Linked DNA regions of Coturnix japonica. The protein of the gene in region 2 interacts with the protein of the main gene of each other region in a biochemical or structural test. Links are inferred from orthologs where the notes say so. Each region holds a gene or a part of one and is shown on either strand. Other genes may lie near its edges.

Region 1 (4,046 bases), on a different chromosome or scaffold from region 2:
TGTGGCCCTGTCAGCCTCCACCAGGAAACAAGGGCATCCAGACACGGCGTGTTTTAAGAGCATCTTATATGCTGCGTGTGACAGCTCAGAGCTGAAGGGACAACTCAGCACATCGATAAACCTCCCGCATCCACACCTGCCTGCAGCCCCACACACCACCCAAATATCAGAACCTATGAGCACAAACACGCTGGGATGCGCTCTCGCTCTTTGCTCTCGCTCTTTGTAAGTCCTTTTATCACATGTACTGGAATAACATCCTAAATACCACTCAGCTGAGCCCCACTGCCTCCCTGCAGTGAGCTGGGACCGCACGCTCTGGGTGGCTGCAGGGCAGGGGCACGCTCAGCCTTTTCAAACGGAAGCAGAAATACAGAAGCAATAACACAGAGCCCTCACGTTACTTCTATAGGAAGGAACTACAACACTGAGCTCACCTACAAGCAAATTAATCACAACTGCGATCCTGGGAGACAACTCCTCACGCCAGGAATCAGAGCCAAGCTCTGACCTGAGCCTCACAGACTGGAGGCACCCCATAACCTAGTGGCACCCTGTAACCTGGTGGCACCCCATAGGCCCCACAGCACCCGCAGACCCAGTGGCAGAACACACCCCACTTTCTGCTATTTCCACCCAAGCACAAGGCAGGCCCTATGCAGGGTAACTGCAGCTACAGACCCAGCAGGTCTCTGCCCCTCTGCCTTCATCTCTACTCCCTCTGATAGCAAAGTGCCAGCAGCACACCGCCTTTATGGCCAGACACACCAAAACCAGCTCTTTCAGCTGTTTTGACCCATTTTATTTCCCCGACAAAACAAAGATAGCGTGGCTGGCATGCAGAAAACACAACCCAAGGGGTCGTTCTGGCAGCACTGGGGTGCAGGGCTGCTCCCAGGCTGTGCCCGTGAGCCACTGCAGGCAAGTGCTGCCGGCCTTAGGACATGGTTGGGGGGCTCAGTGCAGCCGTGCAGGGCTGTGGGGAGGACGGAGGGCTGCAGAACACAGCACACAGCCGGGGCTGCTACTGCAGCTTTTAATAAACGTTTTCCTCTCATCAGCGTGCGCGGGGATGGAGGCAGAAAATGAGAATCTTAACACCCCCCCCAACCACTCCGTGGAGGCCAGGAGAAGTGAGTGGGTTCCCCCATCAGGACCCCAATCCCTGCACTAAACCCATGTGCGCCCCCTCCCCAGCTCCAGGAGCTGGGACACGAGGCTGGGATTTTGGGGGTGCCCCTCAGGGAAGGTTTGGAGGCAGCACCCGTTCTGCATCCCTGCACTGAGCTCTTGCAGATGGATGAATCTCGTTATAAGAAAACTTCTTTTTTTAAAGGAAAGCTGCTAAGAGGCTCAGTGGGGTGCTGTGGTGGTGGCACAGGGACGGGGGGAGCCCAGAGGGGGGCAATGCTTTAAGGGAATAGAAATAACATGACTGATCCCAGAGGTTGGGAGGGTTCGGTGGCACAGCACACACTGCAGCACGGGGGGGGCACAGCGTGCCCTGCAGGATGGGAGGGCATGAGAGGGTCTGCAGAGAGGGGGTAAGGATGTTCTATGGGACAGAGAGGAAACAGGGAGCACTGCAGGGCAGAGAGGGCTCAGGATGCACAGTGGGATGCGGGGGCATGGCAGACAGAAGGATGGGGGTATGTGAGGCAACGCCAGGACGGGGGGGGGGGGGGCAGGAGGAACTGGAGCACCGAGGGTGGCACGGAAGACCCTACGGAGCCTTGGGACACACACACTGTGCAGAAGGGACACAGAAATCAGTGCAGATGGGGGGCACAGGAGGCAATGCAGCACGGGATGGGGGCACAGGAGGCACTGTAGGGGCACAAGAAGTCGCTGTAGGATGGAGAAGCAAAAGACTCAAGGCAGGAATGGGCACACGCATAGGAGCTGTTGCGGAATGGGGGGGCACAGAAGTCAGTGTAGGACAGAGGGGGCACAGAACTCATTGCAGGATGAGGGGATGCACGGTGCAGGATGGGGGGGCGGGAGGGGGCTGAAAGGGGGAGAGACACAGAAGTCAAAGAAAGCCCGGGGTGCACAGGAAACTTTGTAGGACTGGGGGTCACAGAAGTCAGTGCAGGATGAGGTCTGCAACAGAAGTCCGTGCAAAACGAGAGGGGGGCACACGAACAGTTACTGCAGCACGGGGAGGGTGGGAAACACGGAGATCATTGGCGGAGGGCGGGGGGGTAAGTGGGGGGGGCACAGAAGTCAGTGCGCGGGTGCACAGAAAGTCAGTGTATGGGCTCAGAGCTCAGTGAGGCGGGCGGAGGGGGCGGGAGGCATCAAGAGGATTGGGGCGGGGAGGGGGCAGCACAGAGGAATGGAGGGGGGGTGGGGGCACAAGGAACGATGGGATGAGAGGGGCTCAGAAGTCATCGCGGGAGGCACTACCGGGGGGGGGGGGGCACGGCGGGCATTGCGGGCTGGTGGGGGCGAACACCGCAACGCCTGCGGGCGGAGGTGATGGGGAAGGGGGGGCGAGCGGCCGCTGTCAGCGCGGGGGGGAGAAGCGCTCACCTTGAAGGCGACGGGCAGCGTCTTGTTGCAGCGCCAGTGGGAGGGCAGCACGGAGCACAGGAAGTTGGGGCTGTCGGTGCGCACCAGCTCCCCGGGGTGGTCCGCGATGATCTCCACCATGGTGCGGTTATCGTGCGGCCGCAGCCGGGGCACGGCGGCTTCTTGCTGCTGTTGCTGTTGCTGCTGCTGCTGCTGTTGGGCCACTACGACCGGGCTGACCTCGCTCATCTTGCCGGGCTGCAGGCTGCTGGAGGGGGGGGTGAAGCGCCGGCTGGTGCTGGGATCTACGGGGATACGCATCACAACAGCCACAAGTTAGCGAATTGGGGGGCGGGGGGGCGGGGAGGGGGGGGGGAAAAAAATCGGGGGGAAAAAAAAAAAAAGAAAAAAGCAAGGAAAAAAAAAACAACACAACGGCACAAAAAGAATTAAAAAAAAAGCCCCAGATCTCAGTCTGTTGTCGTTCGTTCGCTCGGGGCTGCGCTGCCCTCAGCTACGCCCGGCGCTGCGGCTCCGTCCCGCAGCGCGTCCCTGCCCGGAGCCGCTTCTCCTCCGTCCGTCCGTCCGTCCTTCCCCGCTTCCAGCCGCCGCTCCTGCTCTCAGCGCCGCGCGACTTTCTCTCCTTTTTCCTTCCTCTCCCTTCCCGTCCGCTTTTCGGGCTTGAAGAGGGGGCGAAGGCAGCCGGCTGTGCTCGCCGCTTCAAGAGGAGCGTCACTCGCAATGAGCGAAGGGGAAACGTCCCGGTTTCCTCCGAAGAATTCTTCCTCCTCCTCCGGCCAAACAAACGGCGAAGAAAAAGGGAGCGAAGCCTTAGCGCCGTGCCGGGGCTGCGGTGCGAGGAGCGGTGCGGGGCTGAGCGCCGGGAGCGGCCCGGGACGAAGATCGGGGCTCAGGGCGAGTCCGGCGCCCGGCTTCCAAACGGCAGCATCGTCGGGAGGGGGCAAAAAAGAGAAGAACCCCCCCCCCCCGGAGCAGCCCTGTGCGGGCTGATTCCGAAACTATGCCCGAGGAAACGGTGGGGAAAGGCAGCTTCGGTGCGGTCCGGTCCGGTTAATTGAGTCGCTGCTGGATCCGAGTCCGGGGAGCCGAACCGGGTAACTGGAATCGCTCGTTTGGTTTGGTGGGGTTAATTTTTAGGGGGGCGGTTGTTTGGTTTTTTTTTTCCCCCCTTTTCTCGATGAACAGCAGCAGGCAAAAAAAAAGTCACTGTCTCAGCAGTCATTCAGGTGTCGCTTTGCGGGAGTTACGCTCCGCTCTCCGAAAAATCGCGTCGGTCGAGAACGATAAAGAATATATTAAAAAAATAAAAGGCGAAAAGCAACAAAAGTTCTTTCGGGTGCCGAAGAGCTGCGTGCGGGGAGGCGGAGGAGCCGAGAGGGGGGAGAAAAAACAACACGCAGGAAAAGAAAAAAAAAAGAAAAACAAGAAGAAAAAAAAAACTCCGCAGTCTTTTTTTTTGTCCTGAATGCGGTTTTTTTTTTTCTTTTGGAGGCTGGGACTTCTAATGATTA
Region 2 (3,835 bases):
TCACTGCAGAAAGACTGCATAGGAACGAAGGTGAATATTTCTACTTTTGAAGTCTAGAGCACTTTTGTTGCAAAGGAAAGCAAACAGCCCCTTGCCTGATCCTGCTCGAGGGCATTGGCTTAATAAAAAGCATGCAAGAGCACAAGCAGCCAGATACAAGTGCAAAGCAGTTTCACACACCGGCTTTCTACCATCTCTAGAGCCTGCCTAAAGCCAAAGTCAGCCGCCCCAGCAGGGCCACTACAACACACAATAACCTCCCAGGTTAAGGTTAGGAACTGGAACTCCCAGACAACTCAAAAAGTTCTGTTTGCTCAGTGCTCAGGATCTGGTTCCCCCCGTCTCCTCCTCACACGTTCTCCAGGACATGCCTGCACTTACAGAGCGAGTTTCACATAATCCCTGCCCTTTAGAGTCCAGCATTAAGGGCATTTTCCTAACTCACATACTAGCAATAATAATAATAATAATAATAATGAAAAAGGTGTGAGGAGGAAATGCATTTTAAGTATTTTATTTTTTTTTAAATATAATAGAACCTTCTAGATTTTTTCCAGAAACAGAAACATTAAAAAAATTATACTTTATTACAAATGGTAAACTCAGAGTGCTAAAAAAAAGCCTCTTATTTACAAACAATACTGGGCAGTACCCAAATAAACAACATAAAAATAACTTACAAAGTCATGAAGTAGTTTATTGACATTAATCAACTTTCATAAAATAAAATAAAAAAGGATATGTACATACACCATTTACTTGAAGGCAGGAACAACAGTTCTTGGTTGTTTATCAGCCTCCCACAAACCTCCCTCCCGCTTTTTGTTTGTTTGTTTGTTTCTTAAGGAATACTACATGAAGCAATCTACAGTTTCTATTGCAGTTTAACCTTTAATACTGAATGATCATCGAATGTTAGGTCCATGCAGGTCTTGGTCAATGTTAAACGAAGATCTGTCGCCTCATGGGAGCAGGATCAGCACCTCGGAGCGGTGCCGGCTGCTTCACCAACTCGAGCTGAAGGCTGCCCAGTCTTTGCACACATGTGCTTTGCAGCACGCAGGCAGGACTCACAGCCTCCCAGCTTCTACCGTGAGCTTTACGCGTCCGCCGCTTTTGGTTTGTCGTTTAGTTATACCACAACATCACAGTTCCTATTGAAGTCAGTCTCTTCAAAACGTTTGCAACTGTTGTGTTAGCATTAGCTGGCACCCGCTGTTGACATGGTTCATGACCTTCTGCTTAAGCTGTGCAACCTGTTCTCTGAGCATGTTGGCAGTGGATGCCAGCTCTGAGTTCTGGGCTTTCAAAGTTTTCACTTTTTCTTCCAACCTGGCAATCCTTTCCAACTTCCTTTTCCGGCATTTGGACGCCGCGATTCTGTTTCTCATGCGTTTTCTCTCGGCTTTGATTCTCTCCTGCGACTCCATGTCAATAGGGGACAGGGGAGGGGTTTCCCCCGGCATTTCAGGTACAGTCTGAGGCTCTTCTTTCAGAGCCTGAAGCCTGGGATGCTGCACTGGCATCTGGGGGTTTATGTGATGCTGCGGCGCGTAGCCCATGCCGTTGGCATTGTAGTTGGGTGCGGAATTGAGCGCGTTGGGGTTGAAGTTGCTGAGGTTGGCGTACACCGGGGGCTCGCTGTGCAAACTCGTGTTGAAGCTGCCGCCGCCGGCCATGGAGGACACAGGTGCCATGCCACCGCTAACAGGTTGCGCGGCCGAGGTGACGCTGGGCAGCGTGTTCTGGTTGTGCAGTTCCGCCAGCGCTCTCACGAAGCCTTCGGCAAACCCCTCTTGTTCGTCGGTAACGTTCTTGGGGCACAGGAACTGCGTCGGGGTCGGCGTGGTGGTGATTAACCCGTTGCTGGACTGGATGATGAGCCGCTCCAGCTCCGGGGAGGCCAATTTCAGCAGCCCCACGTCGGGGGAGGTGAGGATGTCGGCGTTCTTGTTCCGCAGGTGCGGCTTCAGGCTGCTGGCCGGGTCGGACAGGTTCAGCGTCATGCTCTGCTTCAGCACCTTGGCGTTATTATATCCATAACCGCCGCTCTCCGGCGGCGCGAAGCTGGCGTTCAGTGCATCCTCGTAGAAAGTAGGCTCCATCTTTGCACTCATAGAACAGAGCCCAAAAAGTGGCGCCGGGAGCCGCCCCACACCGCTCCCGGCCAAGCGGCTTGGGGGGAAAGAGCAAGCCGGAGCCTTCCTTACTTCTCGCCGGGACAACGCCGCTCCTCCCGGCGCGGGCCGGGCCCGCCGGGCCTACGCTGTGCGCTGTGCGCTGTACGCTGTACTCTGTACTCTGTGCGCTGTGCTGCTCCCCGGGCCGCCTCTCCGCGCTGTGCCGGGCCGGGCCGCTCCTGCCGCCGTTGCCGCTTGTACCTCCCGGCTCCGCGCTCCGCTCGGCCGTGCCCGCTGTGGCGGCTGATTCTCGCTGCCGCCCGCCCCGCTCTGAGCCCGCTCGCTCCGTGCAGCCCTTCACTTATCAGCGACCGGGAGCCCGCTAAAAATAGCCCATGATGTCACCCCGCGCGCTCCCCATTGGCTGCCGCCGCCCGTCCCGGGGGAGGCGTGGCGCTGGCCCGGCGCGGTGCATGGCAGCCGGTCGCCATGGACACCCCGCCCCTAGAAGCTTCTCAGCGCCGGCGCGGGGCCTTGTGGGATGAGGTAATGCTGCCGGCGGCGCGGGGCATTGTGGGCTGACGTCTTGTTTTTGAATATCTGGTTACCGCGGCCCGAGCTCCGAGCGGGGTTGGGCGGCTCGACGGCCTCGTACCAACCAACCGCTGCCCTACCGGGTACCGGGGCACCGCGATGCCGCCCCGAGCCGCCCCGCGCCCTCAGCCCGTGCGTTGTGCTGCGCTCGGGGCCGAGATGCTGCGTGCGGCGGGGCCGGGCCGCGCTCCTCCGTTCCACGTCGCGTTGAGTCCCGCCGCATCGCCGCCTCCTCCCCCCCCCCGGTCCCGTTGTTGGTACGGCCCTGAAGGTGGCGCTCCGGGGGAGCCCTCACGTGATTTCCCCGCCTCGCTGCCCCCGCCGCTTCCAGGCAGGGCCGGGGCGGGCGCGCACAGCGCCGGGGCCGCCCCCGCCCCGCACGGGGGCACAGCGCAGGGCGGGCGGCGCTGGGGTGGGGGCGGCTCGGCCTCGTCTCCTCCCGTCCCGGGGAGCCCCGGCGGGCGGGGACGGGCGGCCCGGCTGCCCTCAGCCCCGCCTGCCTTCAGCCGCTGCGGTGAGCGCTGTGTCTGTTCCCAGGGCCGGGAGCTCCCCAAAGTATGAGAGGGGAAAAAGCTGCCGGGAAGGAGCCTGGCTCTGGATGGGTTTTCCTAAAGTTGTCCTCCCGGTTGTAGAGCTGTGCTGGTATTAGTGTGTGAGCGCAGCTTGGCCAAGGGGAACGGCTGGAGATGGAGGGATCCGGTCGGGGAGGGAGGTTTGTGCTGCTCCACAGCTACCGGGGACTCGCAGCTCGGCTGATGGACGGGACGGGAACCCGGGGCAACAAGTGCTGCCGCTGCTGCTTCGCTGCTGGGCTCCATCGCTTTGTGTGACATACGAAGCTGACAAACTTAAGTCTCGGTTTGAAAATGCACTTTAAAACTCTTAAGTGCTATTTTTTTTCTTCTAGATGTAATAACATAATTAGCACTTAAAGTACGGGAGGGAGCAATGTAATAAACAGAATCAAAAAGAGCTGTGAATTAAAAGTGAATGTCTGGATGCACTGACTGATAGAAGTTACTGCTCCTTTTATAGAGTCATCTCCCGGTCCTCCCTGCTGTGCACACCTGGCTGCACTCAGTGTATCCACTTCACCCATGTGCTGGAATCACACAGCCAAT

What was found. The genes of interacting proteins can lie anywhere in the genome.
Region 1: the proteins of JUN (region 2) and RUNX2 form a complex in vitro, tested with the Homo sapiens proteins (2 studies listed by BioGRID). The link is inferred for Coturnix japonica from reciprocal best matches to the Homo sapiens genes JUN and RUNX2.

The regions. Positions count from the first base shown.
Region 1 is NC_029518.1:99,721,940-99,725,985, reverse strand, and holds the start of RUNX2 (runt-related transcription factor 2), read right to left. Parts: upstream 2,867-4,046; 5' UTR 2,836-2,866; coding exon 2,536-2,835; intron 1-2,535. UniProt on the Homo sapiens protein: Transcription factor involved in osteoblastic differentiation and skeletal morphogenesis. Essential for the maturation of osteoblasts and both intramembranous and endochondral ossification.
Region 2 is NC_029523.1:23,599,140-23,602,974, forward strand, and holds JUN (transcription factor AP-1), read right to left. Parts: upstream 2,642-3,835; 5' UTR 2,118-2,641; coding exon 1,173-2,117; 3' UTR 548-1,172; downstream 1-547. UniProt on the Homo sapiens protein: Transcription factor that recognizes and binds to the AP-1 consensus motif 5'-TGA[GC]TCA-3'.